Linked DNA regions of Kluyveromyces lactis. The protein of the gene in region 1 interacts with the protein of each later gene in a biochemical or structural test. Links are inferred from orthologs where the notes say so. Each region holds a gene or a part of one and is shown on either strand. Other genes may lie near its edges.

Evidence for each region.
Region 2: the proteins of PEX5 (region 1) and PEX13 form a complex in vitro, tested with the Saccharomyces cerevisiae proteins (4 studies listed by BioGRID, with this or other methods). The link is inferred for Kluyveromyces lactis from reciprocal best matches to the Saccharomyces cerevisiae genes PEX5 and PEX13.
Region 3: the proteins of PEX5 (region 1) and PEX6 form a complex in vitro, tested with the Saccharomyces cerevisiae proteins (2 studies listed by BioGRID). The link is inferred for Kluyveromyces lactis from reciprocal best matches to the Saccharomyces cerevisiae genes PEX5 and PEX6.

Annotation. Positions count from the first base shown.
Region 1 is NC_006039.1:1,337,038-1,347,891, forward strand, and holds PEX5 (Pex5p), read left to right. Parts: upstream 1-4,532; coding exon 4,533-6,233; downstream 6,234-10,854. Other genes in the region: active spliceosome conformation promoter CWC2, read left to right, coding at 947-1,960; mRNA splicing protein PRP28, read right to left, coding at 2,402-4,021; MNN10 (alpha-1,6-mannosyltransferase), read left to right, coding at 6,810-7,805; RNA-dependent ATPase DBP3, read right to left, coding at 8,164-9,678; HNM1 (Hnm1p), read right to left, coding at 10,061-10,854. UniProt on the Saccharomyces cerevisiae protein: Receptor that mediates peroxisomal import of proteins containing a C-terminal PTS1-type tripeptide peroxisomal targeting signal (SKL-type).
Region 2 is NC_006041.1:1,751,226-1,761,943, reverse strand, and holds PEX13 (peroxin PEX13), read left to right. Parts: upstream 1-4,035; coding exon 4,036-5,262; downstream 5,263-10,718. Other genes in the region: threonine ammonia-lyase ILV1, read left to right, coding at 1-1,144; MMR1 (Mmr1p), read left to right, coding at 2,150-3,517; KLLA0_E19713g (uncharacterized protein), read right to left, coding at 5,582-6,013; DLD1 (D-lactate dehydrogenase), read right to left, coding at 7,347-9,077; HCR1 (translation initiation factor eIF3 core subunit j), read right to left, coding at 9,640-10,473. UniProt on the Saccharomyces cerevisiae protein: Component of the PEX13-PEX14 docking complex, a translocon channel that specifically mediates the import of peroxisomal cargo proteins bound to PEX5 or PEX21 receptors.
Region 3 is NC_006041.1:185,021-196,725, reverse strand, and holds PEX6 (AAA family ATPase peroxin 6), read left to right. Parts: upstream 1-5,909; coding exon 5,910-8,912; downstream 8,913-11,705. Other genes in the region: exosome non-catalytic core subunit RRP40, read right to left, coding at 1-276; palmitoyltransferase PFA3, read left to right, coding at 564-1,541; EGT2 (Egt2p), read right to left, coding at 1,787-3,979; MDJ2 (Mdj2p), read left to right, coding at 5,224-5,664; histone deacetylase RPD3, read left to right, coding at 9,251-10,549; lumazine synthase RIB4, read left to right, coding at 11,035-11,538; NOP8 (Nop8p), read right to left, coding at 11,634-11,705. UniProt on the Saccharomyces cerevisiae protein: Component of the PEX1-PEX6 AAA ATPase complex, a protein dislocase complex that mediates the ATP-dependent extraction of the PEX5 receptor from peroxisomal membranes, an essential step for PEX5 recycling.

The DNA.
Region 1 (10,854 bases):
TGTATAGTTCTTCACTGTTCCCCTGGTTCAAATAGAGCGAGCAATTGATTGAGAAAGGAATCAATATCACATCAGCAAGATAGGTTCATCGATTCATTCAACAGTTCAATTCTCATACTCATCGCTCTTCTTTTTGTTAACAAAAAATGAAAATTTTCCAGTACCGAGTAACATGAAAAAGAAATAAAGTATCAATTACAGTAGGGACGACATAAATTAATCCATGCGACACATAAACAACTTTTCAGAATATCGTGCCAGCGTCTTGTTTCGGAGGTGGTACATAGCAGTTGTAGAAATGTCCATCGCCTAACATTATTCTGGATGAGTCCCTTTAATTTCATACAAAACTTGGAGTTTTAAATGGCGAACAATATGTACAATGATTAAACTCTGTAGGAGAAATTAGCTGTTCCAGGTGCAGGGCATTATTGTCCTGTGATCACTTCACTTGTATAATTAAATACTTTAAAAGGTTTAAATACTCCATATACCTCTTAATGTCAGGCAATGTAGTCTTAGTAAACCTTGAAGTTTGGTTATAGCATCATTGAAAATTACAACACACAAGTAACTTCTCTCGGTAGCCAAGTTGGTTTAAGGCGCCAGACTGTAATTTGAAAACACAAAGCAATTTGTAATCTGGAGATCGGGCGTTCGACTCGCCCCCGGGAGACTTATCTTTTTTTCGTTTCCATTTTGTTTTTGATCATGATCGTTTTCACTAAAGAAAAGTTCCAACCTTGAAGTTTATTGAAAACACTTTGGCCTGCGATGAGATGAACATGGAAGATGTGTGCTCGACAAGATACAGTTTTCACCGTTATAATACGGTATCTGTTGTTGCATAAATTGGACGGTTCAAACTGTTTGCTTGTTCGAGGTCATTAAAGAATACTTGGTTTGGCAAATTGCCAAATATTAAGGTCATCGTCATCAATATATTATGACTGGGGATTGGAAGAACCGACCAGCAAGGGTTCAGTTACAGGAGTCTGACCTACCTTCATCAGTACCGCCTCAGACGGGTTTGGCTTTCAACGTATGGTACAACAAATGGTCACAGGGGCAAAGTGGGTCCACTAGGTTCGTCACACCGTACTCGCTTGATCCCGAGAACGATTCTGGTATCACTAAAGGTGATAAAGAGGGTCGGATTCATTTCTGTTTGTATTTCGCTAAGGGAATGTGCTGTTTAGGCAAAAATTGTCGGTACTTGCATCATATTCCAGAGCCAGATGATTTTGCGAGGTTAGCTTTGCATTCCTCTGCGTTAGATTGTTTTGGAAGAGAGAAATTTGCTGATTATAGAGATGATATGGGTGGGGTAGGTTCCTTCAAGAAACCTAACCGTGTCTTATACGTGGGTGGTATTACAGGGGCACTCAACAACAAAACTTTGAAACCACATCAGATTGAGAATAGAGTGAAATACAAGTTCGGGAAACTTGGAGAATTGGATTCTGTTCGATACGTGGAGAGTAAGAATTGTGCCTTTGTCAAGTTCAAATTACAGTGTAACTCCGAATTTACTAAGGAAGCAATGGGCAATCAGACTCTATTAATACCAACCGATAAAGAGTGGGATCTAAGGAAGGAGGGAACTGGGTTGCTTGTGAAATGGGCGAACGAGGATCCTAATCCAGCTGTACGAAAGAGAGAATTGGAAGAACAAACCCAAGAGACTTTGAAAGCTATAAAACAACTAGTGGCTAGTACTGAAGGCACTGTAAATCAAAAACGTAAAGTTGAAGAAATCAACGAAGTGAGAGATTCGCAGGCGAACAGTCGTGAAAGATTCAGCATTAGGGAGAATGCAATCATAGATAAGACTATTTTAGATAAGTTGAAACAAAGGAAAGTGACTATTACCAATACCAACGTTGCTGCAAATATAACAGTTTCAAAACCATCGTCGGTTTTACCTTTGGTAACCCAATATTCATCTGATGAAGACTAGATTTCGTGAAGTCATGTGACACATTGACTTTTCCAGATTAGGTATATTTTGGATTACTGGTTGCCGTCATGAACAACATCTAGCGGATTTCAGATTTGTTTTACTGACATTGCAAATATTTGAAATGAATATAAAAGCTATCAATGCCTGGTTTTCAAATTATGTCGAAGTTGTTTTGTCGAGTTCACTTACTTGAACTTCGTCAGTCTACGGTTTGGCCTTCATCAAAAAACACGATAATTTTGAATCAGACATCCGAAAAAATGGAAGACAAGGCACAGGCTCAAACAAGAACGCATGAATCGTCAGACCATTGGGTATTTCCAGGATTGACCTGGAATCCTAAATGCATTATTAGCTAGCACACTGTAACTATTTACGTTAAATACTCTAATTCATATTGCATGACTCTAAAATTTCAAGGAAAAAAGTCTAGTCCTTTCATATAATAATTGGTTTGTATGAAGATTTGTCAACATTGTATTTCGACATAGCTTCTTTTGAGATGTAATTTTCTCCGGTGAAGTCGTTCTTTTTGACATAATCGAACAATTTAGCCATGGCAGAATGATCTTCCTCCTCGGTTAGAAAAGTAAGTGCAGTACCAGTTTTACCAGCACGTCCAGTTCTACCTACACGATGCACAAAGCTGTCAAACGACTTAGGAAATTGTAGATTCACTACTAAAGAAACGTTAGGTATATCGATACCTCTTCCAGCGACATCAGTAGCTATGAGAATATCTACTTTCCCATTTCTCAAAAGACTTAAAGAGTGTTCACGTTGTTCCTGTGATTTTGAGCCGTGAAGAGTTGTTGCTCGGAACCGAGCCTCTCTAAGTTTGTCGAATAACCAGTCAGCTGTTCTTTTGTAATTTATGAATATTATGATAGGAGCCTTGTAATTTGGTAGGAAATCTTTTACAAGTATCTTAAGTTTTTCTTCTTCATCTGGAACATACCGTACTATTTGTTTAATTTTTGGTTTAGATTCTTCTCCTCCAACCGTGACATAGCTTGGCTTTTTCAAATAGCCATTAGCAACTTTTTCTATGGTAGGTGAGAATGTAGCCGTAAACATCATTGTTTGTCTATTGGAAATTGTTTCTGTCTTTGCTAAAATTGTAGTCAACTGATCTTCAAAACCGAAATCTATCATCTTGTCCGCTTCATCCAACACTAACGTATTTACTTGCTTTAAAAATAAAAGATGAGAATCTAGACAATCAAGTAACCTTCCGGGTGTAGCAACCAATATATCACATCCATCTCTTAGGTTTGCTGAAATTTCTTCCAAGGAATGTCCACCAACAATACTTACGATATTGCAAGGTCGTTTCCATAGTTTCGTAATTGATTGCCCCTCATGTTGTATTTGCTGTGCCAATTCTCTTGTTGGTGCTAATACTAATGCCAAAGGACCATCATGTTTAGTAATTGAATTAAGTGGCGGTATACCGTGAAGTTTTATAAGAATTGGAAGCAAAAATGCAAGTGTCTTACCAGAACCAGTACTAGCAACACCAATGAAGTCTCTATTGTTTATAACATTCGGTATTGTACTGCGCTGAATGGATGTTGGCTCGTTGTAGTGCAAATCATTTGTAATAATGTTTAACAAATCTTCCGGAATTAACTTTAATTCGTGCCAGTTTCTTAGAGGTTTCTCTACTGTTCCACCTTTACTCGAGATATTAAAGTCTTCAGATAGAATCCTCCAATCCCTAGTGCTCATCTCTTCATATTTCTTTTCAGACCAATGCTTCCCCAAGTAATTGTCGACAATACTTTCATCTTCATTTTGTCGTTTCTTCAAAAGGTCGGCGGATTTTCTTGCTAGGAATAGTAAATCATCTGGTTCATTAGATACTTGTTCCTCGTATAGTTCGTCTTCGTCGAGATTCCTATAATTATCTTTCCTCTTGATAACGGTGTGTGACAATGCCTTTGACGCTTCTTCTTCTTCTGGTTGTGGAAATGTTCGTTTCTTGATCAGAAACCGAGGTTTCTTCGCAGGAACTGTGTCTGATATTAAGTCATCAATACTGACGGGCCTTAGCATGGTAAAGTGTGATACTTTCTACCCATCTTTACAATCGTGTAATATTGCAATACCTTTGAGAAATGAGATGAGCTCCACCGTCTTAAAGCTTAAAGAACTTAAAGGCACAGTTTCTGATATTGTCGCCACGAATAACCTAATACGGTATATGTCCGGGTAATAACATCGCCCCAAACCTGTTCCGAAAAATCATGGCGATAATCTCAATCAATCTCTGGAGCTTTGAAAAACTCCAGAGATTGATGAATCATGATTTAAACAAACTAACCGAACACTTTCATGACATTGCCAAGGTTGAATTCATATATAACTGGATTCATCAACATATCAAATCTACATACTTTCTACGCAGAACTTGTCATTGTGTTCATTTGTTTGAGCTAGTAGCTTTATTATCAATCATCAAGGGAGCTAAAAGGGTTTACTAAGCATAGACTAAGGGAGCTCATCAAGGGAGGTGGTAGAGTTTAAAAACAAGAAAATATCCCATCTCATTTGACATAATACAATTATGAGTGCAGATTGTTCCGTTGGATCAAATCCTCTCGCGCAGTTGAATAAACATGCCCAGCAGAATCCTGCTCTGAGACAAGTGGGGTATCAAAATCCGGCCAGTAATGTTGCTCAAAACTTCAAAACTCATGTGAATGAAGTATCCAATGCAAATCGTTTTCAAATGGACCAGTTTATGAACAGGTCACCTGGTTTTTCTGATGGTCAGTTGGGAATGGCGCCTGTTCCTAGTGCTATTCTTTCGCATGGTCCTCGTTTTGGACTAAAGAAACAAGATAGTGGAAGCAGTAATATGTCAGCAGGCGATACAGCTCAGCATTCCAGGAGCTGGGGTAATGAATTTAATAGCAGATCTCCTCAACAGGGTTTAGCCAGCAGAGTCAATAATGTTGAAAGAATAAGCAACACAAATTCTATGAGTTCATACAGGCCTGGCATGTCCCGGATCGGGAGGCCGATGATGCATACAGGTATTTCTTCATTACATAATTATTCTCACATGTCTCAGCAAACACCGCAAATGTCCAGTGATGATGGTGTTCTCGCTGACAAGCAGTGGAATGAGCAGTTTGAAGCCTTGGAGAAGGCTGTGGCTGAAAATTTGACCATGGAGGACAATAAAGAGGAAACCAAGGAGGAGATAGTAGTGGAGGATGGATATCAAGCAGACTTCCAAGAAGTCTGGGATAAGTTACAAGCGGAGACGGCTGATAATAATTTGGAAACAAGTGATTCTCAATGGGAGAAAGATTACGCTCGCTATATGACTGGTAAAGCAACACATATTCCACCTTACAGATTTGATAATGATAACCAATACATGCATAATCCAAATGCCTATGAAATTGGATGTATCCTAATGGAAAATGGGGCGAAGCTAAGTGAAGCTGCATTGGCTTTCGAAGCTGCTGTGCAAGAAGACCCCGCGCATGTAGATGCATGGTTAAAGCTTGGATTGGTTCAAACACAAAACGAAAAAGAAATGAATGGTATTAGTGCGCTTGAGCAATGTTTAAGCCTAGACCCCACTAATCAGCAGGCACTCATGACAATTTCTATCAGTTATATTAATGAGGGATATGATCTGACCGCTTTCAGCATGCTCAACAGATGGCTAGATAGTAAGTACCCTGAGTTAACACGCTCCCCTACCATTGATGAGGCCAATATCGATAGGTTTAATTTGAGCAAACAAGTAATCACGAAGTATTTGCAAGTAGCTAACGCCTTGCCTCAGGTGGATCCAGAAGTTCAGCTCGGTTTGGGAACGCTTTTCTATGCCAATGAAGAGTTTGGTAAGACAATTGACTGTTTCCGCACCGCATTAGAAGTCAATCCAAATGACGAATTAATGTGGAACCGTTTGGGAGCCTCTTTGGCCAATTCAAACCGTAGCGAAGAAGCTATCCAGGCATACCACAAGGCCCTTGCCTTGAAACCGTCTTTTGTGAGAGCTCGTTATAACTTGGCCATTTCGTCAATGAATATTGGCTGTTATAAAGAGGCTGCAGAGTCTCTGCTCTCTGCTCTATCTATGCATGAAGTAGAGAATGTTCCAATTACTGGATCAGTCGTGCAATCTAACAATATTCTGGAGACCTTAAAGCGTTCCTTTGTCGCCATGGATAGGAGAGATTTGCTAGAAAAAGTCATGCCGGGCATGGATCTACAGCAATTTCGTAATGAGTTTAACTTCTGATAATGCAACGCAGCGAATAGTCTTTGTTTGATAGGACCATCCTCATATTCATAATGAATTGATCTTTCACCAAGTTTTGCGGAAAAATACATTCGCATAATTAATTACAAGCATTTAGTCGCATATATGTAGTCGTCATTCGATTGTATTCCTCAACGAATAGTGCAGAGGTCCATGCTCACGATCAGTGTACCAGTCAAAGTGTTATGGTAAGCTGTCGCGGTATCTAGAGACAGATTGCGATTCTATCATTTCTACCGGGTAACATTTTCTTGTTTTGGATTTCTTCATTTTAAAGCGAGTTGCAAGAATTTGAAGTAATGTCAACAGAGTAAAAATATATGTTCTCTATAGATAAACTCCAGAGTAGTACAAAACAATCATTTACTGGTTGTTGTTTGTGTATCTAAGTGATTTCGTTAGTACTTCAATACGTTAAGGAAATATAGTGTGACTGCTTGGAGCAGAAAATACTATTGATCGCGTTTTGCTGTTTTTCTGAGGCATCCAACTTGATCCGATTTATTGTATATTGTACGTGAACGAGAGACCAGTCAGAAAATCTAGATAGGATCAATGACTTCGAGTACACCTTATGAGTACTCATACGAATTGGATGAGAAAAAGCCATTAAATTTGGATTCCAATTACGTGTCGTCATTTTCAAAATATAAGAGGTACGTCCTATGGCTGTTTTCCATACTTTTCATATTATTTTGGTTAAGTGATTTCTCACTTGTTGCAGCTGAACCCAAGGTGGTGATAATTGTTGCTGTCAATAGTGGTGGCGGTGGTGTTTTAAAGTGGAAATCGGAACAAGAATGGGCTATCGAGCGTATTTCTATCGAAAACAAACGTGCATACGCCAAAAGACATGGTTACGGATTGGTCATTAAAGATCAGGCACTATCAAAGAGATACTCCCATGAATACAGAGAGGGCTGGCAAAAGGTTGATATAATGAAACAGACTATGAGGGAATTCCCCAATGCTGAATGGTTTTGGTGGTTAGACGTGGAAACTCTTATCATGGAGCCCCAACTTTCTTTGGAAGAACATATCTTCGATAGACTAGATGAAATCGCAAACAAGACTTTGGAAGCTTTCAATCCTTTGCATATAGCTACCGATGTGGCATATGTTGACTATTCACAACCGTCAGATATGTTAATTACACAGGACTGTGGTGGTTTTAATTTGGGTTCTTTCCTAATGAGAAACACTGAATGGACTGAGCTTCTTCTCGATATATGGTGGGACCCAGTCGGATATGAACAAAAACATATGGTCTGGGAACATCGTGAACAAGACGCTTTAGAAGCATTGTATGCTAACGAACCTTGGATTAGAGAGAAGATCGCATTTCTACCACTAAGGCAGATCAATGCTTTCCCACCAGGTGCTTGTGCAGATTTCAAGTATGACTTGCGCTATTTCTATAACGAAAAGGAACATGACTTCGTTGTCAATATGGCTGGGTGTAACTTTGGTAGAGACTGCTGGGGTGAAATGCGCCAATACACTCAACTGATGCAAACTCTTCACCGTAGATGGTACTCGATGTTCTTTTAGATTCTCAATTTCCTTTTGTTTATCACTTCAGTTGTATTTCAAAAATTATGCACTGCTCCATTGTACTAATACTGTAAAATAAAAGGCGAAGGTACAAGAAGATCTTCGATAGAGTATCCCCTTTTATACTTTAATGCTTTCCCTTTCAACACCATTCTTCGTTGCCTTTCAAAGTCATTGTTTGAATATCGCATATTTAATACGTCTTTAATTTCAATTTTTATCGTGAACATTCATTGTACAAACTTCGATGCAAGAGTAATTGTAAACTTTTATTTACTCTGTATTGAATGAACTACTGTACATAATGGGGGTGATTGCTAAAAAATACAAGAATTGTCTTTATAACGGATTTAAATTAATCAAATGTAATCTTTTTTGGTTTCTTTGATAGGTCCACATCCTTGAAGAATGCACCGTACGCACTATGTTCCTTCTTCTTTGTGTGAGTACCGAACTTCTTGAGCTCCTCAGGAACAGGTTGACCAGCACCATTTAAGACATTAACAAGGGCACCTGCAAGATGCTTTTCTTGCTCAGTGAACAATGTGTGTGCGGTACCGTATTGACCAGCACGACCGGTTCTACCAATTCTGTGAACGTAATCTTCTACTGTTAGAGGGAAAGTCAAATTGATAACGGTTTTCACGTTTGGGATGTCTAAACCTCTGGCTGCCACATCAGTAGCTAAAAGTAAGTTACATTTTCCTGCTTTGAATTCATTCAAAGCTTGAGTTCTTTGCTGTTGAGAAAGATCACCGTGAATGGCAGCAACATCGTAACCGTTGTATTTCAAGTTTCTTTCAACACGAGAGGCTTCCTTTTTGTACAAGGCAAATATCAAAACTTTGTCGTTCTTTGTTGGGCCTGAATGGTACTTCTTCAACAGTTCCAACAGTTTTTTTTCCTTTCTGAACGGATCCACAACTTCCACGATCTGAGTAATTCTTTTGTTTGCTGACAGTTCATCTCTGTTACCAATAGACACTTTAACCGGTTCACTCATGAAACTTGAAGCAAGTTCACGAACTTCTTTTGGCCATGTCGCGGTAAACATCAACGTTTGTCTAGAGGTGGATCTTGTTTGTCTAATGATTTTTTTGATATCTTCCTCAAAACCTTTTTCCAACATTCTGTCAGCTTCATCCAAGACCAGGTAGTTAACATGACTCAAATCAACAGAGCCTTCCTCTATTAGATCCAACAGTCTACCTGGAGTAGCAACAACGACTTGGGATCTCCTCAGATCTTCTCTTTGCTGATCCTTTGGAACACCACCGTATACGCAACAAGATCTTAAACCACACGCGTCAGTAAGAACAATCAAATTATCGTAAATTTGAGAGGCCAATTCTCTAGTTGGTGAGATAACAAGTACCTTGACGGAACTTGACTTGTCTCCTGATGTGACAATGTTGTTGATAGCTGGAACACCGAAAGCAAAAGTCTTACCCGAACCAGTTTCAGCGATACCGATAACATCCTTACCAGCTAATAGATATGGCCAGGAAACAGCTTGAATTGGAGTTGGTTTTGGGAACTTAGAAATTTCCTTTTGAATCTGATCAATAAACGACACTTGGGAAAAGTCTAAATATGGTACAATATTGGAACCTGATGGGTCGCTAACTGTAACCTCATTTTCCTTCAAAAATTCATCAATATCAGATTGAGAGGCAGAAGCAGCAAAGCTTTCAGTTTCTGATTTCTTATCCTTTTTCTCCTTCTTTTCTTTCTTCTCCTTCTTATCCTTCTTGTCTTTCTTGTCTTTCTTGTCTTTCTTGTCTTTCTTGTCCTTCTTCAATTTTTTCTTACTCTTCAACTCCTCATCTTCCACCTTTCTCTTCTTGTCCTTTAATTCATCTTTTGACATTCTGGACTATTTGCTTGAGCTCTAATGGTTAAGTATCACTACTACTGCAGATTCTGCAATCATATCATTCGAAAGCACTTAAGTCATCTCATCTCATCTCAGCTTTGTTATATAAAATTTTCAATAATCAAAAAACATTTCTTTTTACTGACGCCAGCTGAATTACAACAAGAGACAAATATATAATTAATATAGCAACGGAGGATCCGTATAATTGATAATATATTCTCAATTAATTCCGATACAGCAGTACCTCAGTTCGTATATATCTAGTAACAATAATTCAAAAGACAATGCAAGTATTATATTTAGTAGGTATATTAAACAGGTGAATAAACGTTAAAAAAGACAAGAAACGAAATGCGATAGGAAGCAGTGTTTATCATTTAGCATCATAAGCATGGAAAGCTTCAGTTGTTACTGACTCCTGATTGCTATCGGTGTTTTCATCTTCTCTGATATAGAAAACTTTCTTTGCCTTAAATTGCCAGAATCCTAAGTAGAATAATAGGAACCCAACAATGACGACTGATGCATAATTCATGTTATCTTTTGTCACTGGCATGACAGCTGGGAAACAGAAAAAGACTAAAGCGAAAAGATTCCAACCCAATAAAACGATATTGGAGAACGCTCCGAATTTTCCTAGCCAAAATGGGCCATGTTTAATATTACGTTTACGCGCCAACAGACATACGACCGGAACACTGTATGAGAACAATAAGAACGCAATACACCCAGTAATTAAAGAATTGAAAGCGGTGGTGGAAGCCATGTATAAGCAACCCAATAGCGAAATCAAGGCACATGACAGCAAGTGCGCGTTCAATGGCACACCCAATTCAGGATCAATTTTAGCCCAGTATTTAGAGTATGGGATACCGTTGTCTCTAGCAAATGACCAACACAATCTTGCTTGCCATGTATGGCATGCAATAACACATCCAAATGAGGTGAAAAGGATGAGGCAACCCAACACTACAGCACCTGGAGTAGATTTGGTAGCTTGACGGAAAATTTCCAAGATTGGCATTCCGGTATTGGATGAAGCAACAGCCTCTAGATCTTGTAAAGAGAAGAACATAGCGATGACGTAACTGAAAGAAGTAAGGAATCCAATGCCCACTGTACATAGAATAGAGATCGGAATCACTCTTTCAGGGTTTTCCACTTCAA
Region 2 (10,718 bases), on another chromosome or scaffold:
TGGTATGACAGATATTCCACCATTTGATCATCCTTACGTTATCGCTGGTCAAGGTACTATTGCCATGGAGATTCTAAGACAAGTACAAAATGGGTCTAACATCGGAGCAGTGTTCTGTGCCGTAGGTGGTGGTGGTTTGATTTCAGGTATTGGTTCATACTTGAAGAGAATCGCACCTCATATCAAGGTTATTGGTGTGGAAACTTACGATGCCGCTACGTTAGATGTTTCATTAAAGAACGGTAAACGTACCCCATTGCCAAGTGTTGGAACGTTCGCTGATGGTACCTCTGTGAGGTTAATCGGTGAAGAAACATTCCGTGTTTGTCAAGACGTAGTCGATGAAGTTATCTTGGTGAACACCGATGAAATCTGTGCTGCCGTTAAAGATGTGTTTGAGGACACAAGATCAATTGTCGAACCAAGTGGTGCTCTTGCTGTTGCCGGTTTGAAAAAATATGTCTCTCAACTACACCCTGAAATAGACCATTCTAAGAAGACATACGTTCCAATTCTTTCCGGTGCCAACATGAATTTCGACCGTTTAAGATTCGTCTCAGAACGTGCTGTATTGGGTGAAGGTAAAGAAGTGTTTATGTTGGTCACCATTCCAGATACTCCAGGTTCTTTCAAGAAGCTACAGAATGTGATCCATCCAAGAGCTGTCACTGAATTCTCATACCGTTATAACGAGCATTGTCACGAAAATGACTCCGATGTACCAACCGCTTGTATCTACACATCTTTTAACGTCGTTGACCGTGAAAAGGAAATCAAGCAAGTGGTTCAACAATTGCATGCTTTAGGTTTCGAAGCCGTAGATATCTCTGACAACGAAATGGCCAAGTCTCACGGTAGATATTTGGTCGGTGGTGCTTCTAAAATTGAAAATGAGAAAGTCATTGCATTCGAATTCCCAGAGAGACCAGGTGCACTAACTAAATTCTTATCAGGATTGAACGTTTCCTGGAACTTGACTTTATTCCATTACAGAAACCATGGCGCTGATATTGGGAAAATTTTGGCTGGTATCAGTGTGCCTCCACAAGACAACGAAATCTTCCAAAAGTTCTTGGACGATCTAGGATATAAATATCAAGATGAAACTGACAATATGGTTTACCAGAAGTTTTTGAAGTACTAGGATAGTAACAAACGAACAGATTATATTTAATTATACCAAGAGTACTAGTAGATGCGACTTTCAATTCTTTCCGGTAAAAACCATTGTACATTAATACCTCTGATATACTAGTAATATTTCAGTCCCATATATATATATATATAGATATCTATATACTTTCATAAAGTTCTTGAAACAAGATCCCATTGAAAGTCAGTTCCCACTCAAGACTCGAACCCCGGCATTTTATACCTTGACTTATCCGACCTGTCTATACTTCTTAGCCGATCTGCTGATTTTAGTAACGTTATGTCCTAAAAGGGTAATTTGTAAACATTGTCTGTTTTCTTTACTTAAACATGTCGAAAGCGATGAGCAGTCGGATTCGGTAACACAGTTCCCACAAACGGAAGAGAAAGAGGGTAGATGAAGTTGTGAGTTTTGGATCCTACCCATTTTAAGGATTTTTTTCTTTGAGCTTAACAAAAGTATTTCAACTATTGTTATACGAGGTGATTTTCTTAAGTTTAGTTATTCTCTGCCTTCATCGAAATCACTCGTAAAGTCTCTTGGCGGAGAGTTTTGACATCCTACTGGTAAGAGAGGAAAACTGGTCGACAAAAGGCACTTCCTTTTCTCAAAGAGAGCACCTGCGTTGTTGGAAAAGGAGTTTTGTGCGAAGTTACATTCCGTTAATATTCTGTTGGGGAAGGTAAAGGGTATTTGAAACTTGACAAAGTGAGGAAAGCACCGAATACTTGCTAGCTTTATAGTCGAACCCTTGTGTCAGTGGAGCATCAGCCTTTCATAACATCATTCAGCAAAACAAGTTGAGATTCATTTAGGGTTGGAATAAAGAGACAAAAAGAGTATCCCCTACTGTAAAATTTCTCTTAACAAGAAGCTTTTTGCAAAGTTTACCTCTAGAGGTCTAACTTAGAGCACAGTAAACCGCAAATTAGAGATAGGCACAATAGCGTACGGGAGTGCAAACTTCATCCAATATAAAACAGAAACAAAAAGAAGATGCTCGGAGGTGGCATTGATGATACAATGATTGCTCATGGCTCATCGATTTATCTAGACGATAACGGTGCCTACCCCAAACGACTTAGGACATCTTTGTCAAAAATTATGGACAAGCAACTGGATTACAATAATAGTATGGCAAACGTGATACCGATAGGTCCAAGGTCTAGGTCTAGGTCGAACTCAATTGGAGGAGATACCAATCCCACTCCTATTTCATCAATGCTAAGATCTACTTCTCCAATTAGGATATCTCCAATACCTGGTCCTGTGAAAGTGCAACCGCCTAAGATGTACAAGAAAGAATACCTTTTGAAGAACAACAACAGTAATCAAGTGATAAAAAATGTTCCAATAGTTGGCACAAAAATGAATGCCAATGGAAATGATAACTTAAATCGTGGGTCCAATGGCAAACCTGCTCTTGGGCATAGAAGAGGAATGTCTAGTACATCCCAGTTAAGTAATACCACAAAATACGTTGAGCTAGAACCTCCAAAAATAGGTGATAGGTTCCCATCCTCAGATTCATATACTTCAAGTTCACCGACTGTAACACTTGATCTTGAACTTCAAATGCTAGCTGATGAGGAGGTACAAAATGGATTAAATGATAACAATGGGGCTGTCAATAACAAAAGAAATAGTATACTATCAAATTTCATGAATGACGAACAGCTGTGGCTGAATAATAAAGATGATTTCCAATATCCTGACGATCATCATTTCGACAAAGAAAGACTAGATCTGACAATCAAGAAACTTCAACTGAAGATTGATGAGTTGAAACTGGATAACGATAAATTGCATTTGGATAACGAGAATTTAAAAGATATCAACAATAGTTTAACGAGAGCAAATGAGTCCTTGACCTTCCAAAGCAGCTCGTTATTACAGCATATACAACAATTACCAAGAATATCAAATACAGACTTCATAATTCACAATTCAGACAGGTCACGGGAGAATATATCGAATAAACCACCATTCAAATCAGATGCACTAGTAAAGATCGCTGTTGAAGGAAAGATAAAAGAGCTAGAGAAAGAATTAGCTAAATGCAGAAGAATTCAGAAGGCTTTGGAATCCAGACTGAGCCCAAGGAAAAACAGGGTAAAGTACTTAACAGTTGAACAACTCGACGCGCTGGCTGAATCCAAATCGGAGAGTAAGCCAGATGAATCTAGTTTACATATCAGCGATCCCGACAACACTACCGCTCATAACAGTACTACGACATTAGATTGTGACGAAGGCGAGGTATTATCGGGGAGTATTAATCCAACGAGACTACAGCATGGTTTCAATTTACGCATACAATTAACTTCTTTAGAAGAAAGCAAACACAAGAAGGACTTTTCATAAGATAATTACAAATTTTTTTCAAGCATAATACGGACAACATTTTCGATTCAATATTTACAACTATCCAATGCTGCTGATAAAGCTTTGTAGTAGATACATTCAACTCACATTGCAGCTGCTTCATTTCGAACTTTTATACATTCTTTCAATAATAACAAGGATACATATATACATAATATGCGTGTCATTCGGAACCAATTTAAATACAAAATATTTAAAAGAAGGAAATAAGGATTTTCATTCAAGTATCCAACGGTTCTTCGTGGAAAAGATATCGTCTATTGCTGATGAAAAGACGATATCTACTATTGTCTTTAAGTCACGACGCAGGAAATAGTAACTTGTTACCCGGCCAAAGCATATTTCAAAGATTGACGATGATTCTAAAAGTAACATTGAATCATGTCGTGGAGCTTAAATACAGGTAACGACAGTGATGAATACACATCGATTGTAGCGGTTTTGGCTTCTATTAAGTGCTGTGATCGAAGTTCATATTTATTAGAGCATCAGTAGTCATGTCACAATCGGCAGGTGTTTCCAGACCGAAGCCCTGGGAGCAGAAAAATGGAGTTGAGAGTTTAGGAACTGATGCCAGTTTTACTGAGAATAGCAGTGCGTTGCAACCATCTGGTAATCAGCCTGACTTACCATCCAAACCGAACGGTTTAAATGAGGGTATGGATTCTTTGAACGGGGGAAACCCTCTTCGAAATGGTATGTCTGGATATGGTTCGGCGTATGGTGGAGGTTTAGGTACAGGATATGGAATGGGTTCCATGGGTGGTGGATATGGATCCATGTACGGAGGTGGTTATGGCTCTATGTATGGTGGTGGTTTAGGGTCGATGTACGGCGGTGGTTTAGGGTCGATGTATGGGGGAGGGTTCGGATCAATGTATGGGATGAACGGTATGAACGGTATGAATGGAGGACCCTCGGGGATTGCAGAGTCAACACAGGCAACTTTCCAGTTAATAGAAGGGCTTATAGGAGCCGTTGCTGGTTTCGCCCAGATGTTAGAAGCTACATATATGGCTACCCATAACTCTTTTTTCACTATGATAACCGTTGCGGAACAGTTTCAATATATGAAGGAGCTTTTGGGATCATTCTTTGGTATATTTGCCTTGATAAAATTCGTAAAAAAGATCTTGTACAGAGTTACAGGTGGTAAGATGGGAGTAGCGCCTTCCAAAAAGCGCTTAGGGATAGAGGGCGGAAAGAGCCAGGGCTCAGATCTTTCAAAACAATTTATCGAAGAATTCAGGGACTCAGATCTGACGAAGAAAAAGGGTAGAAGAATTTCATGGAAACCATTGATTGTGTTTTTAGCAGCTGTGTTCGGCTTCCCGTACCTTTTGAACAAATTTATTCAGAAATTACAACAGCACCAAAAAGCCAAAATAGCTGGCGGCGCTATGGCACAACAAATCTTAGATCCTAATAACCTAGAATTTGCAAGAGCGATCTATGATTTCGTTCCTGAGAATCCAAGAATTGAATGTAACTTAAAGAAAGGAGATCTAATGGCAATCATTTCCAAGAAAGATCCACTAGGAAATAACTCTGAATGGTGGAAAGTCAGAACAAAACAAGGAAATATTGGGTACGTTCCATACAACTATCTTGAGTTGATTAAGAAAAGGAAAAATGGCGTACCTGTTGAATCTGAGAAATCGAATACTTCTGAAGAACTGGCGGATTCAACCTCGGTAGACCATCTATTACAGAATCAACAGTGATTACATGGTGATGGACAAGAATTGAATATGGCGGGTCACAAATGCTAAGTTAAAGATGTGATAGCTTCAGAAAGTTTCAGACTAAGTATTAAGAAGAATTACGTTGTATTTTTCTCTTGTTTCACGTTATATATGTATTTGTGGTTACTACACATTTATTATTCCATTGCTCGAACCCCAGATACGGCATTTGGAATGCTAGAATATTAGCACAAGGGCGTTTATTGTCACCCTGCTGCTTAAAGGATCAGGTAATTTGGTTTATTGGGAAAAGAGGACATCGACATTCCGGACTTTATCATCATCTCATTCCTTATTTTTATTCGTTTAGTTTGTCAGCAGCATTTTCCAGTTTTTCTTTACCCTTGGCAGCGGCTTCCTTACCCTTGGCAGCAGCCTCTCTACCTTTGGCTTGGGCGTGTTCCTTACCTTTCTCTGCAAGATCGCTGGCCTTGTTTGAAGCCGTGTCAGCAGCTTCCTTGGCATCCTGCCCTGTCATATTGAATATCCCTTTCACTTTTTCTTCAACATTTTGGAAATTTTCACCCAAGTGATGAGTTGCTTCTTCGGTCTTCTCAATACCTTCAGCTGCAGCTTTACCAACTTTCTTGTTAACGTCTTCTAAAGTTTCTTTGATACCTTTAGAATCAATGTTAGAATTGTGAATAGAACGAGCCATAGGAGAATTTGTGAATAATCTAGAGGCAGCTGGGACTCTGGAACCTCTGTAAATAGTCTTTGAAATCATCATTTTGAAAATAGGAATATGTGGGTATAGTAGTGTTGCTCTCTCGTTGCGTTAATCGATCACGGGCTTGATTGATTCGTATCTGAATTTGATAATGGTGTATTTAAAGGTGTCTAATCCTAGAAGAGGCATTATTCTTTCGACCATGCCCTATATATATATACATACTAGTATGTATCATATATCTGGATTTGTATCATCTGTTTTTCAACATGTTAAGGTTTGCTACTAAATGGTACAATATCTATCGACAATAGTACTGGAGAGATGGTAACTTGCTTTTGTAGCAGAAATACGTATTCCATCCCTAATAGAACTCGACAGATTCTTTCTGAGCAGCATTATGAGTTGACGCAATTTGAACCTCCATGAAATGCCCAAGGACATCGATCCATTTAATCATCGGGGTCTCATCATTATGATCCGATTGCTGATAATATTACATAACCTATATCAAGTACACATTCAAACCCTCCCTGAGTCTGGGGATCCTATCCCACAAATACCAGTACAGATTGAATCCCACAGAGAATATTAACTGCCACGAATACTGCCATGTATATGTGCGTATATTTTCTTAGCATCTTCAATTAGCAAACTGTCGTCAAACACCGTGTAGTATCGTTTTTTTTTGCTATCAACATTTTGCGTTTGAGAAAGACAGACATACAGAGCAGGAAAAAAGAACAGAAATAGAGCAATCACTTTGCTGCAGAAGGTGGAGAGTCTCACTTTGAAAGACATTCAGGACGGTTGTCAACTTATCCATCGGAATAGTCTATGAAACTTGTAAGAATGAATTTGTGTTACTATGTTGTCGTTTTAGACAATCCGCAGAAAGTTCAGTGAATAATATAATGAATGGTGAACAATGAATCGGATCTCATCTAACTCGTTAGTCACATGATTAGAAATGTGCTGGTTCTTAACTTGGTTAATGTTTATATCTCAGGTTTTTTTAGGCTTTATAGAGTTTTCTAGTTTCTTACGTATGAGTACATTGCGGCTATAAATCTTGCCGAACCTAATTTCTGACTTGCGTCAGTTTTTGATCAGACAGTCCATTTGCACCTTTGATGTAGAGGAACGTGAGGTTAATGATGACTAGTAGTGCTGCTCTTAAATACCAAAGTTATGGTGTTTTATTTTGAATATGATTAACAATAATGACTGGCAGTTTGTATGGATTGAGCGTAATAATTACAGGGAATTTACCTTATAGTCTATTTTTGTTGTTTTTAGGGAAGAGTTCGTCGTCGTATCTGGTATAACATTAGTTAGTATTACCATTTTCATTAGCGTCATTCATTCATTAATGATAGAACCGAGGGTCAGATTAATGTTGATGATCGTTTGGATCAATCTTGAAGATCTTATCTGGATTCAAGATTCTCTTAGGATCCAAAGCGAGCTTCAACTTTCTCATAACTGCAACAGTGTCTTCACCAACTTCTTCCAACAAGTAGTCTCTCTTACCGATACCGACACCGTGTTCACCGGTACAAGTACCTTCAGCATCAATGGCTCTCTTGACCATATTTTCAACAATAGTTTCAGCTGTTTTTCTTTGTTCAGTGTTGTAGATGATGAATGCATGGAAGTTACCATCACCAGCATGACCAACCAAAGAGGTTAATAAACCAGATGCGTTCATTTCTTCCTTGGTAGCATTAATAACATCTGCGAATTTCGAGATTGGAACAGCAACATCGGTTGTCCAAATGTTGGCATCTGGGTTGGTCTTTCTGCCGGTATCAATGGTTGACCAAAGAGCAACTTTTCTAGCTTCCCATAGTTCTAGCTTGGAATCTTCATCAGTAGCAAATTCAAATTTGGTATTGTTGTGTTGAGAAGCAATTTTTTCCACTTCTTTAATGACTTCTTGAATAATCTGTTCAGATCTACCACCAATCTTGAAGAACAAAGTTGGAGATTCGACCCAGTTATCCTTTGAAGTAGCACCACTTTGGTTGATGATTTTCATCATGTTATCATCCAACAATTCCATAGCATTCAATTGAATACCGGCTTGAATCAAATGAGAGGAACAAGATGCAGCATCACTGACAGTTGGGAACGGAACGACAGCGACAGTTTCAAAAGTAGATCTAACATGACATTTAATAGTAGCTTCAGTAACGATACCCAAAGTACCTTCACTACCAATAATTAACCCGTTCAAATTGTAACCAGCAGACGATTTTCTAGGTCTTCTCTTGGTCTTAACAATAGTACCATCAGCCATACACATAGTAATATTAACAACGTTTTCCTTCATGGTACCATAACGATAAGCGTTGGTACCAGAACAAGAATTAGCAATGCAACCGGCGATTTGAGCACCTGGACCAGGGTCACAACCGAACAACAAACCATGATCGTTCAAATATTCGTTCAATTCTTCCCATGGAACACCACCTTGTACCACAACATCCAAATCCTCTTTATTCAATTGAATAATCTTATTCAAATATTTTGAAATATCCAAGACGACACAAGACCCTGGTCTAGTTGGTAGGAAATGCCCTTCCAAAGAGGTACCACCTGAAAATGGGATCACTGGGATAGAGTATTTGTGACAGATTTTCAATAATTTGGAAACATCTTCTGTGTTGCGTGGATACAAAACAATTTCTGGTCTTTGATTAGCTTCAGCATGATGAGAGTTGAAATAGGTATCCGAATGAGCATCCAAATCGTCCTTAGCCACAGTGAAGTTTTCAGGATCGTTTTCTAAGACATCTTTCAATTCAACAAGAGCTTTAGCAAAAGTTTCCTTATCACAGTACTCGGGAGAATCAAGGTCTTCCAATCTAGCAATGGACAAATCACTCACGGACTTTTCCTTCTCGAACTGAGAGCCTAGAGCATATGCAACAAACCCACCACCAATTAAAGAACCACCAAGAACGCTTAAAATGGCGGACGAAAATCCACCGCCGTTATTACCGTTAGAAGACGAATAATGTCTTTTTGCAACGGCAGTGGTCCTAGAACGCAGAACGTCCTTACGTAGTTGCAGCGAACCACGCAAAGCAAAACCGGATCTTCCAACAAACCTGAACATTGAGTTGCGTTTCTGGTCTTTCTTGCACTTTGCGATAACAAGTACACAAAACAGCTGCTAAGTTACCAAGTTTCTCTACCAAGTTGTTACCTTATTATATAGTATATTGATATGCGGAATACAGACGGCGTTCGATTATACATATATATATATATATATATATAAGTACAAGTTCATAGCTGAGAAAAAAAAAAACAGTTCAAACGCGGAATAGGAACAATCATATACCGTCGACTCCACGACTTGGTTCATCCACCCTTGTTTTGATACATATCCGGCTTGCTCTCCTCTGGTCTTCTCTGGCTTTTCTTTGTTGCCGGATTTCCATGATGATTTTTCACTTCGTAGCGTGGGATGTAGCGTGGATCGGATCTTGTTGTACTGGTTTGAGGCAGCACTGGGCCAGTGGAGAGTCAAGAGCGCTCTCAGATTCGGTAGATGAGAGAGAGAAAGAGCGACCGGGCTAGCGAACAAGACTTGGGCAATATTAACAGTTCAATTGTTTACGTTCTATATATGATATGTGATGATGATATGTGATGAGATCTGTTTTTTTTTTCTATTACATGAAATCGTCTTCTCCGAAATCGTCAAAGTTATCGTTACCACCTAGGTCGAAATCGTTATCCTTCTTGAAGGCACCGCCGAGGTTAGCCCTAGTAGCCTTGGCCTTCTTCTTACCGGCACCGCCTGTGGCGGTGCCTCCCTTGACTTTGGCCAAACGAGCTTGTCTTTCTTCTCTTTCTTTATCCTTCATCAATACGTTCAATGTCGCAATGGTTTGTCTGATGTTTTCGACGGTCATTGGTTTGGAAATGTCTCTGATCAAGTCGATGGCTAGTCCACCAGAGTAGTTCAACAAGGATTTGTTGCTTGTCGAGGTGATTGCGGTAGCCAACGCTTTCCTTAATTCTTGGTAATCTTTTTTGGTTTCCAAATCCGAGAACAATGGGTGCGATTGGATTGGGGTATCCTTGGTCAACGCAGCAGGTTGGGCGACAGCTGCAAGCTGTTCTCTTTCACGTTCGGCGCGGGCTCTTGGATGTTCTTCTGCGACGCCAAGACCGCCGAAAAGGTCTGCAGCGTTGTTCAAATCAGATTCCAGTTCAGCCTTTCTCAATAGTTCTTTACGGGTCTTGTCGTCAAGAGTATCGATATCGAGCATGGTGTTCTTTGTAGCAGCTGGTGTAGCAGCTGGTGATGGAGAGGCTTTCTTTGGAGCCTTGGCTGCAGCTGCTGCTGCTGCCTTAGGCTTAGGTTTAGCAGTCTCCTCGTCCTCCCAGGACTCTAGTACCGGCTCATCGTCGTTTTCAGCGAACTCATCATCCCATGAATTCAACACTGGCTTCTCTTTGGAGCCACTTGGCACTGCAAAATCTTCGTCGTCCCAGGACATTGTTGATTGATAATTGATCTCGGTTAGGGTAGAGCTGCTGAAAGCAAGTGTTTATTGATTGTCCTCGTTACAAATTCTTGTCAAGATGCTTATGGGTGGCATTAAATTTCGATTTTTGGGTCTTTTGGGAGCTGTTACCCGGGGCAGTGGTCTTCCTTCCTCCGTCCCTCCCTTCTGCCGCAAAGACTGCTACGTCAAACCATCATATTGCATGTAGAACGAAAATACCCTGCTATAGACCACGA
Region 3 (11,705 bases), on another chromosome or scaffold:
CGAGAAATTACACAATGACACGCGGTAGCTGTCTCCGAAGGAAGCAACAATGACACCAACTACAAAATCTCCAACTGCTGGAATATATCTTTTGGAGTTATAATCAACATACACGGATGCGCCTTTCTTGTTCGGTGTTACCACTTCTAAACCTGCGTGAGTAGCTTTTATCTCTTGTGATAATGGATCACTATATATTCCTGGCCCTGCTGATATCGACTGGGATTGTGTTTCATCTGCACTTATAACGTCTCCTGGTAGCAAAAGTTTTGACATTTCAGTCCTAATGTGATGAGTCTCGACAGATCTGGCTTATTATACAGCCTTGTTTATTCCCCTTTGAAAGTAATGGTAGCTCATCGCTTGCAAAAATAGACGTATCTTCAACTTAAAATTTTCGTATATTATACTTTCAGTAACATGAAAGAAGAAACAAATGAAACAGAGAATCATGTAACTCTAAAATATGAGCTAATTCGGGCTTGAATTAATAGTCATTCATTGGTGAGGTCAACAACAGGCAACCTATCTAGTGGCACCTACAGACACTGTATTGAAATGCGATGCTACTCGATAGGATTGGGTTTTATTTTCCAAAAGCCCTCAGTAACTTTCTAATACTTTACACATGTTGTATTTGCTTCAGCAGAATTGATATATTACCAAGAATCGTGAATGTAGTGCTACTGATTACTCTGTCATCTTTTGCGTTGTACACTTATTGGAAGATTATACGAGTGGGTGCTGGAAGTCCATTAGAATATTCCTTTCTCAAAATCCAAAGTATAGATAATGTATTGAACAGGACAGAGCAGCCTCCGGACATAATAAAAGATAATTGTATCTTCGTGAAGAGAGACGGATCTTTTAGATTTTGTCAAACGTGTGAGATCTGGAAACCTGATAGATGTCATCATTGCTCAAAGTGTAATAAATGCTTCTTAAAAATGGATCATCATTGTCCTTGGTTCGCTTCTTGTGTCGGATTCAGGAACCAAAAATTCTTTGTCCAGTTCCTAGCATATACTACAGTATACTCTTTATATGTTCTACTGATGACGTCTGCTCAATTGTACAGCTGGTTCAGACAGATGAAATATAAATCAGAATTATTGGACCTCCATCTACTGGTTGTATGGGTACTTAGCGTCATTGCCGCAATAGCCACTTTTGCATTTACCACCTACACAATATGGCTTGTCACTAAAAATGAGACTACTATAGAGCAGTACGAATGGGGTAATATCAGACATGATCTAGAAATATATGGAGATAGTATTAATTGCAATATGGGATCAGTTGACAATGTTTTTGATTTGGGATCTAGGTCTGCAAATTTCAATTGCGTGATGGGTGCCAGTTGGGCGGAATTACTTTTACCAATCCAGGTAAGAGCTGATGATCCATTTGATCCATATGCAAATCAAGGTTTGTTTTTTCCGGTTCAGAGTGATACATATAGAATATATCGCGAAAGCGTGAACTTGCAGCAACGTTTGATTACGAGACTAACTCTAAGACCGTCGATAGAACACATCTAATGAATCAAGTTATTCTTTTTACGTCCAGAATTTCACTATCGGGCGTAAGCTCATGATGATAAGGAATCACTTTAAAGAGCCATGAGAAGGACCCACTTAGTGTATTTAAATAAGATGAGTTTTAAATCCAAAAACTAAATATCATGATTGTTACAACTGTATAAAATACTAACGAAGGATGCTAAAATAAGTCAAAATAAGTCATTAAATGCTTCTACCAATGAAAAAAGGGCAGACTAAAGAAATCATATTATAATTGCCAAAATAGCAATGAATAGACTTCCGAAGCCGTATTCGACACGGTTAGCAAAGCCGGAATATTGCGATACTACGGCTTGTGTTTGTTCAGCAGATGATGTAGAAGCACCCAAGAATTGTAGAAGGGTTGAAACCTCTTCACCTCTGGTGGATGTTCTTAAAGAGGTTTGAGTTTTCTCTGCAGCATCTCCGACATCTGTCGCTAAAGTTGTAACTGGCACAAACGAACCAATTTCTGTCTCTTCACCGCTTAAAGTTCTACTTTCCAAGCTCGTAAAGGTTTGGAAATTGGTTATTTCAGTAGATGGAGTATTAGTACGGATCGCGGTTTCAGTATGGGAGGTAGTTTCTAGTGTATCAGTTTTTTGGCATGCTGTACAACTGGAAACCCATGATGTATATGTCGAAGTTCTGCCATGGACCGTTTCAGTAACAACAGTAGCGTATGACGATGGAACATCTTCAGAAGAGTTCGAAGTTAATTTGGAACTGGTTTCTCTACTTTTGCTTGAGGAGGTTTCTTCAACTGGAGCGAAAGAAGAAGTCAAAGATGTAGATTGAGAATCTTTACTTCTGGACGAAGTGGGTTCTTCAGTTGAAGTAGAAGAAGTCTCGAATTTGGAATCAGAGTCTTTACTGAGTGTCGCAGAAGTCTCTTCGCTTGAGGCAGAGGAAGAGGTCAAAGATTTAGAATGAGAATTGTCACTGCTGGCAGAGGATGTCCTTGCAGTCGAAGTAGTGTTTTCAAATGAAGCGGATGATGTAGAAGAGGATGATAGGGTTGACACAGGAACCAATTGAGTAATTTCAGTGACTTCACCATCTTGTGTCCTCGTAATAACAGTATATGTGAGTGATTCGTTACTGTATGTGGAAACAGAAGTCACGGTTGGCATAGAGGATGTAATGTTAGTTGAAGTGATAGTAGAAGTTGGGATAGAAGTGGAAGTGGAAGTGGAAGTGGAGTTATTGTTGTCTACATTGCTGGTCAAAACAGTAATTGAGTTGATGCCACTCAATTCAATGTTGGAAACTGGCTCCAAGTAAGCAGTAGTCTCAAAAATAATCGATATATCTCTCTTGTACACGCTCAAATTTGGATAAGTCAATTGAGCAACATTCTTCAAAGTAGTAGTACCAGCGTCAGCGGATAAAAAGTAAATAATACGCAACGCTTGGCCACCAGATACGCTAGAGCTGAAGGAGTAGGAAATAGTGGATTCATCTGAATTGCTCTTAGCAGCAGTCACATTAGAAGCAGCGGTTGGGTTTTTGAAAGAGTCAACAGCAGTAACAATTTGGAAATAAGAGGCAACGAACTCGTAGTCACTTTCAGCTACGGAAGTGAACTCCAATTCCCCTGAATATTCATTGTATGGTATGTCTACGGCAAAGTATGGACGACCAAATTCATCAATACCAGTGTCAACGGTGGATACTGTGTAACTCTTTGTCTCAAAAGTCAAAGTACTTGAAAAAGTTGGACCAGAGTAAACTTCGAAACTGTAATCAACAGTGGTTGGTTCGCTTGGCTTATCTGCCAGTTTGGTCAAGAAGTTGAAAGATCCATAGTAATCTTCAGCAACATCTTCAAAGCTAACCTTGAATACACCAGAAGAATTATGAGAAACGGAACCGATAACGTCTTCATCTGCCAGGACTTCGTAAATACCTTCTGGGAAGTTGCTGAATTGATCTGGAACAGTTAAAAACAAGTCACCAGTGAAGCCTGCTGTGACAGAAATGTCAACGTTAATGACAAACCAATTGTTTGGATTGCTTGATATTTGAGACTGACTCAGCGTATCAAACACTTGAACGGTTTCGATAGCCGCTGATGGAGTACTAATTGATATGTCCGAAGTAGATGTGGAAGTAAAAGTTACCGAAGAGCTGTTTGAAGACGTAGTGTGCGATGGGATTTCTGAAGAAGTCACAGGGCTCACATCAGAAGTGGTAGAGTTATCTGTTACCGAAGAGTAGTCAATACTTGAGGAAGATGGCAAAACTGGTATGTCACTAGACGAAACCTGTGATAATGAAGAAGATTCCGACCACAGTGAAGACGACGATGAAATTGTTGATGCAATGGATGATGATACAACCGAAGTATCATTACTATACCTAGCAGAGACGGCAGTGAATAACACACCCGTGATCAAATATCTTAAAGCAACCATAATCGATTCTTAGTTTTAATGTATGGTCTTTCAATGGAATGCGATTGGTTTGGAAGTTGGTTGATCTAAGTTGACCGAATCAAGAATACAAGAATTTGACAACTTAGTGATGAAACAATAAAACATAACAACTGAAATTCCTGCCATTTGGCTTTGGTTTATATACAGCAAGCCTGATTCTTCAAAACATAAATAAATAAATCACAATCAAAACAGCAAGCAGGTACACAGGGCCATTGTGTAATATAATGGCTTGCAAAATGGGTAAAAAATTGCTGGGCCCCATCACACAATCCTAAATTCACTTCCCATCTATCAACGGTGCCTTGGATCTGCGTCAAATCAGATCATACATTGTTCTTACAGGATCAATCGTGCTACGGAATTGCAAATTTGGCAGCACCATTGAAAATACTAACAAAGAGAAAGTAAATGCAATCATACCCAGCATTTTCAAGAAAAAACTCCTTTACACAAATGCCCGGCAGGCACCAAACTCAAATCCGTATTCCCCCATTATCTATCACACATGAATGCAGAGCTGCTACCAATCTCCATTTCATTCAAATCCCAACTCATCATAAAATTGCTGGTTTCTGATATTGCGAGAAGCTGTTAAAAAAAAAAGTGATCCAACCTTAAAATGAAAAACTTGTCTCGAGGATCTACCGCTATTTCTACATTAAGGTACTTTGTCTCCCAATTTAGGGGAACCAACCAGCATTACGCATGCAGAATTTTGAAAATCTCAATTGTTTAAGTGAGAAAAGAAGGTATGTGGTGAATGGGTGGTATTTTTGTTGAAGGTTAAAAACGATATATTCTATTACTCTGGGAAAAGAACAAAAACTGAAATACTTCCTCATGAAAGAAATGAGATGAGATGAGATTTGATATACTGAGCACAAGAGAGGAAAAATCGTTAAACGAATCTAGGGTCAGGGGGTCAGGGGCTCAGGAACAGAGTATCTGTGCTAAGTATCTTAGAGTGAATCTGCGGAAACCTGAAATACTATGCGTGCCTGTGAGTGTGTGCACTTTAATTAAGCGTTTTAGTTATATCAGACGGTGAGCACATTCCAAAAGTCTTAATAAGACCATTTTATTTCGATATTGCATTGAGCTAACCGTCACATTCTTTTGTATACATCACGATATACTTGCAGGGAAGGATACGAACATTCTACTTTTAAAGACCGTTCCTTTCTTGTGCCTGTTTTTTTTATACGTTCTTGGTACATGCAATGGTTTTGCCTATTATTGTCGGTATTGGAATAACCACGATTGCCGTGGTTGCTCGTTCTGGGCTACGAGCATGGGATAAGTACTGTCGCTTGACACCACTGATGATTGCGCAGTTTAATAACATTCATATTCCGTTTAAGGATTTGGATCAGTTTGGATCAAAATATAGAACGAGATTATCTCCAGAACTATTAACGAAATTAGATAGATACCCGGGAGGGTTTTATGACAAGATGTCAGAGACCGAAGCATTGCTGATATTGGGCATTTCAGCCCGGGAGATTGAAGCGCTCGATGAAAGGTTGTTGAGACAGAAACATCGAAGAGCGATGATTATGAATCATCCAGATAAAGGTGGAAGTCCGTTTATCGCTTCCAAAATCAACCAGGCAAGGGACCTCCTAGCAAATAGTGTAATACTAAAAGGACCACGTGATTAAATTTAGCATATCCTCCGCATTTCTAATTGCTAGACACATACAGTCCTGGCTTTTTCTTCTTTTCTATTTCTTGCTCCAGCTTTCATATATATGTAAATGCTTAGATAAATATTCTTTTAGTTAAACGATTAAACGATTCTCCAAGAAAAAACATCAAGTGAATCATCAACAATTTTCACATTGGAGAATCTGAAGAAATACCCAACAGACAAGGTCCTGACGCTCGATCAACGGGGTCGTTCACTATGGTTATTGCATCTTTGGAGTCTACTCATGCTATCTCTACTTCCATTGTGTTATCCTCAGATCTATGGACCGAATTTTATGGTACTGAATCGGTTTCTAGCGCTAGCCCGAATTATGTGAAGCTGACGCTTCCATCGTATAACAAATGGCACCATCAGGCGCTGATTTCACATTGTGATAATGACGATTCGCTACCATTTGGATCAGCTGGTCTACCAACAAACTTCATAAAACAATCTCAGGTCAGACCTATGTTCAGTTCAATTGAGATTGAACCTTATGTGCAGCAATTACCTAACTTGGACAACCTAGTGTTATCATTGAACCCTGACCTTTTCAATGAATTAAATCAATTATCAAAAGAAGAGCAACGGAAATTTTTAACTTTGAGGTTTAACTTATTGTTTGGCATTACTGTTTTAAATGTCAATCAGGTCGTGTATCCGGCATTTTGTAAAGTGACTTCAAGTTCGAATGATTTCGGTATACTTACGGACCAGACACAAATAGTATTGGTGCCTGATTCAAATGTTGTAGAACAATCGCGGTCTAATGATGAGTTCACGGAGTTCGATCATTTGTTTTCTTTGCATGTAAAAATCCAATCATTGTTGGATCCGGTACCTGTAGAATTTTTGTCACCTCCACAACCTGATACAACTGACAACGACCTTTTCGCATTTGTCCAACCAAATATTCTTCTTCAGTTGGGTGTCCCAAGCGGAACATTTGTCAGAGTGATTGCTGAAGAGCAGGAAATGTTGGTTCAACTTTTCGTCTTATTCGCTCCCAACGAATATGAATGTGATTCATTATATGTCTCCCCCAGGGTAAGGTACGTATTCATGAACCATGCCAGAGTAATCATACAGAGGCCTAATCTAGCATTGAATAGATTTTCAGTTTCAAATGCTGTGACATTATCTAGAATCGGCTGCCAAATTAATGCCCAGAGACGCTACCAAGATATTATTTCCCATCATTTAGCATTATATTTTAGTGAAAAACAGCGCATTGTTAAAGTAGGTGACTTAATACCTATTACTTTCGACTCCAATTATGCATCGATGTTTACCGATGATATTCGTTCTGGCCAGCATGACACCTTAGTTTGGTTCAAAGTGGAAGAGATTGAAAGTGACTCAAATGAAGAGTATCATATAATAGACAGCTCTATCACAAGACTTAGTACTGTCAAAATTACTTCAAGAGAATTGATGCCCAAATCAATCTGTGATTACGACAGATTTTATAATCTTTCGCCGTTATTCCATTACGACGAGGATGCATTTCCCTTTGCCAAAAGGTTAAAGGATATTTTAAATACGGCAATCAAATGTTCTGCAAGGAATGTTAACGTTGGTACAAGTATAATGCTGCATTCTTCATCTCCAAATGTCGGTAAAACAATGTTAACACGCTCTGTTTGTGCTGAACTTGGGTTTCATTTGATTCATGTAGACTGCTTAAGTTTAACCTCCAACTCGAATACCTCCGACGCTACCAATAAAACTATCGGATATATTAGAGCTAAGATCGAGACTATTATATCATATGTTGAGAAAGTAGTCATTTTTTTATCTCACTTGGAGACCATACTGGAGGATGAACAAAATCAACAGGATAATACAAGCTCCAAAATGGCTCGTCAAATGAATGTCGAAATGGCAGACTTAATAGAAGAATACACCACAAAATATAAAGGAACAGTTTTCGTGGGGTCTACCAATGACATTGACAACATACCTGCTATAGTTAGGTCCAGAATAAAATTTGAAATTGATGTACCAGTGCCAACTGAAAAGCAAAGGTTACAAATGTTTCGATGGTATTTTGACCCGTATGTTTTGAACAGCCAAACTCCAAAACTGAGGTCACTAATATCGCATAATGTTCCATTGCAGACAGTATCTGTTCAATCGGCTGGTTTGACTCCAATGGATATACGATCAATCGTCAAAGCTGTCAAGTACAAATGTTACCAACGTCTAAAGCAGAACGACCTTCTAATTGATATGACCGATATAACTGCAGTCATAAATATTGCAAGAGATAGATTCTCAGACTCTATCGGAGCTCCTAAAATTCCTAACGTGACTTGGGATGATATTGGTGGGATGGATGTGGTCAAAGGAGAAATCATGGATACCATAGATATGCCACTCAAGCACCCTGAACTATTTTCATCTGGTATGAAAAAGAGAAGTGGTATTCTTTTCTATGGACCTCCTGGGACTGGTAAAACCTTGTTAGCGAAGGCAATTGCGTCTAACTTCTCTTTAAATTTTTTCAGTGTTAAAGGGCCTGAACTTCTTAACATGTACATTGGTGAATCCGAGGCAAATGTTAGACGTGTCTTCCAGAAAGCAAGAGATGCTAAGCCATGTGTCATTTTTTTCGATGAACTTGATTCCGTGGCACCAAAGAGAGGAAATCAGGGAGATTCTGGGGGTGTTATGGATCGTATTGTGTCTCAACTTTTGGCAGAACTAGACGGAATGAGTTCAGGAGGAGACGGAGTGTTCGTAATTGGAGCTACGAATAGGCCAGATCTTCTTGATGAAGCATTATTACGTCCCGGTAGGTTTGACAAGATGTTATATTTGGGGATATCAGATACCGATAAAAAACAGGCAAATATCATCAAGGCTTTGACGAGAAAGTTCACACTAGAATCTGGTATCGATATACTAGATATTGCCAAAAAATGTCCGTTCAACTATACAGGTGCAGATTTCTACGCATTGTGTTCTGATGCCCTTTTAAACGCTATGACTAGAGTTGCTGGTGAAGTTGATGAAAAGTGGGAGAAGTATAACATGGAAAATAAAAAGAATATATCATTGAGGTATTGGTTTGATAACGTGGCAAACGAGAATGACTTGAAGGTCGTGGTAAAATTACAAGACTTCGAGCTTGCTCAACAGAATCTAATACCAAGTGTTTCTGAGGATGAATTAAGACATTACTTGAGATTAAAGAGTAGTTTCGAATCTCAATGATCGTTAATAAGTAATCATATCGAATATTATTATAAATCATATATAACAAATATATTAACTCATCCATGCAGGATGATCTGGTCAGTAAAAAGTTGGTCTACTTCTTAATCTTCTTCAACTCGTGTAACATGACAGATCTCTTTAAGGCTTTTCTTCTTTCTTTAGCTGCTTGGAAATTCTATATTGATGGAGACGGTGAAAAATGAAGGTAGTGATTTCTATTAAAACCTTGATTTATGTCGAAAACATACCAAGAAAGCTATATAAACAAGAGGTGAAAAATTTGTACCGGCTCTCCAACTTAGCGAAACTATTAAGATTAATTGTGCGTGGACGGTATGGTATACGAAGCTAAACCTTTTGACCCGATAACGGTGAAGGCTAACGAGAAGAAGCGAGTTGCATACTTTTATGATGCTGATGTGGGAAACTATGCTTATGGTGCAGGACATCCTATGAAACCACATAGAATAAGAATGACACATTCGTTGATTATGAATTACGGTTTGTATAAGAAGATGGAAATTTACAGGGCTAAACCTGCAACGAAACAGGAGATGTGTCAGTTCCATACCGATGAATATATTGATTTCTTGTCTCGAGTCACTCCAGATAATTTAGATATGTTCCAAAAGGAGAGTGTGAAATTCAACGTTGGAGACGATTGTCCTGTGTTTGATGGTTTGTACGAGTACTGTAGTATATCTGGAGGTGGTTCTATGGAGGGTGCAGCCAGATTAAACCGAGGCAAATGTGATGTTGCCATTAACTATGCTGGTGGTTTACATCATGCCAAAAAATCGGAAGCTTCAGGGTTCTGTTACTTGAACGATATAGTGCTAGGTATCATCGAGTTGTTAAGGTACCATCCTCGTGTTCTTTATATTGATATTGATGTGCATCACGGTGATGGTGTAGAAGAAGCTTTTTATACTACGGATCGAGTTATGACATGTTCTTTCCATAAATATGGGGAATTCTTCCCAGGTACTGGTGAATTGAGAGATACTGGTGTCGGGAAAGGTAAATACTATGCTGTGAATGTCCCATTAAGGGACGGTATTGACGATGCCACTTACAAATCGGTATTTGAACCAGTCATAGGTAAAATTATGGAATGGTACCAACCTTCTGCCGTGGTACTCCAATGCGGTGGTGACTCTTTATCCGGCGATCGTTTAGGTTGTTTCAACCTTTCAATGAAGGGTCACGCAAACTGTGTCAACTACATGAAATCGTTCGGTGTTCCTCTCATGATTGTTGGTGGTGGTGGTTATACAATGCGAAACGTGGCTCGTACATGGGCTTTCGAAACGGGTATTCTGAATAATGTGATTTTGGATGAAGAACTTCCTTACAACGATTACTACGAATATTATGGCCCTGATTACAAATTGGATGTCAGACCATCTAATATGTATAACGTCAATACACCGGAGTATTTGGATAAAGTGCTACTTAATATTTTCAGCAATCTAGAGCATACTAAATATGCCCCAAGCGTTCAACTCAATCACGTTCCTCGCGATGCGGAGGACAAAGGTGACGCCGAAGAAGATACTGCAGCTGCGAAGGACACTAGAGGAGGTTCTCAGTATGCAAGAGACATAACCATTGAGAATGCAACCGAATTTTAGCCAGAAAACAAAAACAGATGATCTTTTATTATTTACTGTATTATAATATATTTACACTTAGAAGTACTCTTCCGCATTTGCTACAGGTTTTATCGTCACTCACCTAATCACTGTTATATGTCATTCATCCGACGGTTAATATGATGCTGAATATACAGATTGGTGCCCAAGTTAGAATTGATCTAATGAGGTCAATTTTCTATCGTGTTTTCCCTCCGTCAGTATCGGTATTTGCCATAATTTTCCACGTAATACTATTCCAGTTCAGATATGACTTACATCTGCACTTCGGTTGTCAGTAACAAATCTATATATGAAAAAGATCAAAAAATGAAAATCCAGAAGCGAATGGATATTTAAAAGTTAAGATCAGATAGGTCGATTACACAAGAATAAAGCTTATCCTATTTCATATAGAGATATATATTATCTGATAGTAGATACGTTGTATCTAAACATTCAAATCACAGTTAGTAAATTTTGCAATGGCTGTTAAAGGTTTGGGTCAATTGGATCAAGTTTATGATGGTTCTAACTTGAGAATTGGTATCGTTTACGCTCGTTGGAACAGAACAATTATCGATGCTTTGGTAGAAGGTGCCATTAAGAGACTTCAGTCCTTAGGTGTTAAGGAAGAAAACATTATTCTTGAATCCGTTCCAGGTTCTTTTGAACTACCATGGGGCGTTGAAAGGTTTGTTCAAAAAGAATTTGAAAAAGGTCATCGTTTAGATGCTGTTATCCCTATCGGTGTCTTGATCAAAGGCAGTACGATGCATTTTGAGTACATCTCAGACTCTACTACCAATGCTATTATGAGTCTTTCTAGTAAATTGAACACACCAGTCATTTTCGGTTTATTAACTTGCTTGACTGAAGAGCAAGCGTTGGCAAGGGCTGGAATCGATGAAGGAAAGACTATGCACAACCATGGTGAAGATTGGGGCGCTGCTGCCGTAGAAATGGCTGTAAAGTTTGGTTATAACTAGAAATGCAGTATTATTATATATTTGTCTATATGAAAAGTTATATTGAACGCACTTATAATCAACTCAAAGCACGGCACGTTGGAATGCTACAAAATTTAGATTAGTACGGTATTTCCGTGATATTTGTCCCTTCTTTTTTTGATTTGTCTCACTACATCTCTCTTCCT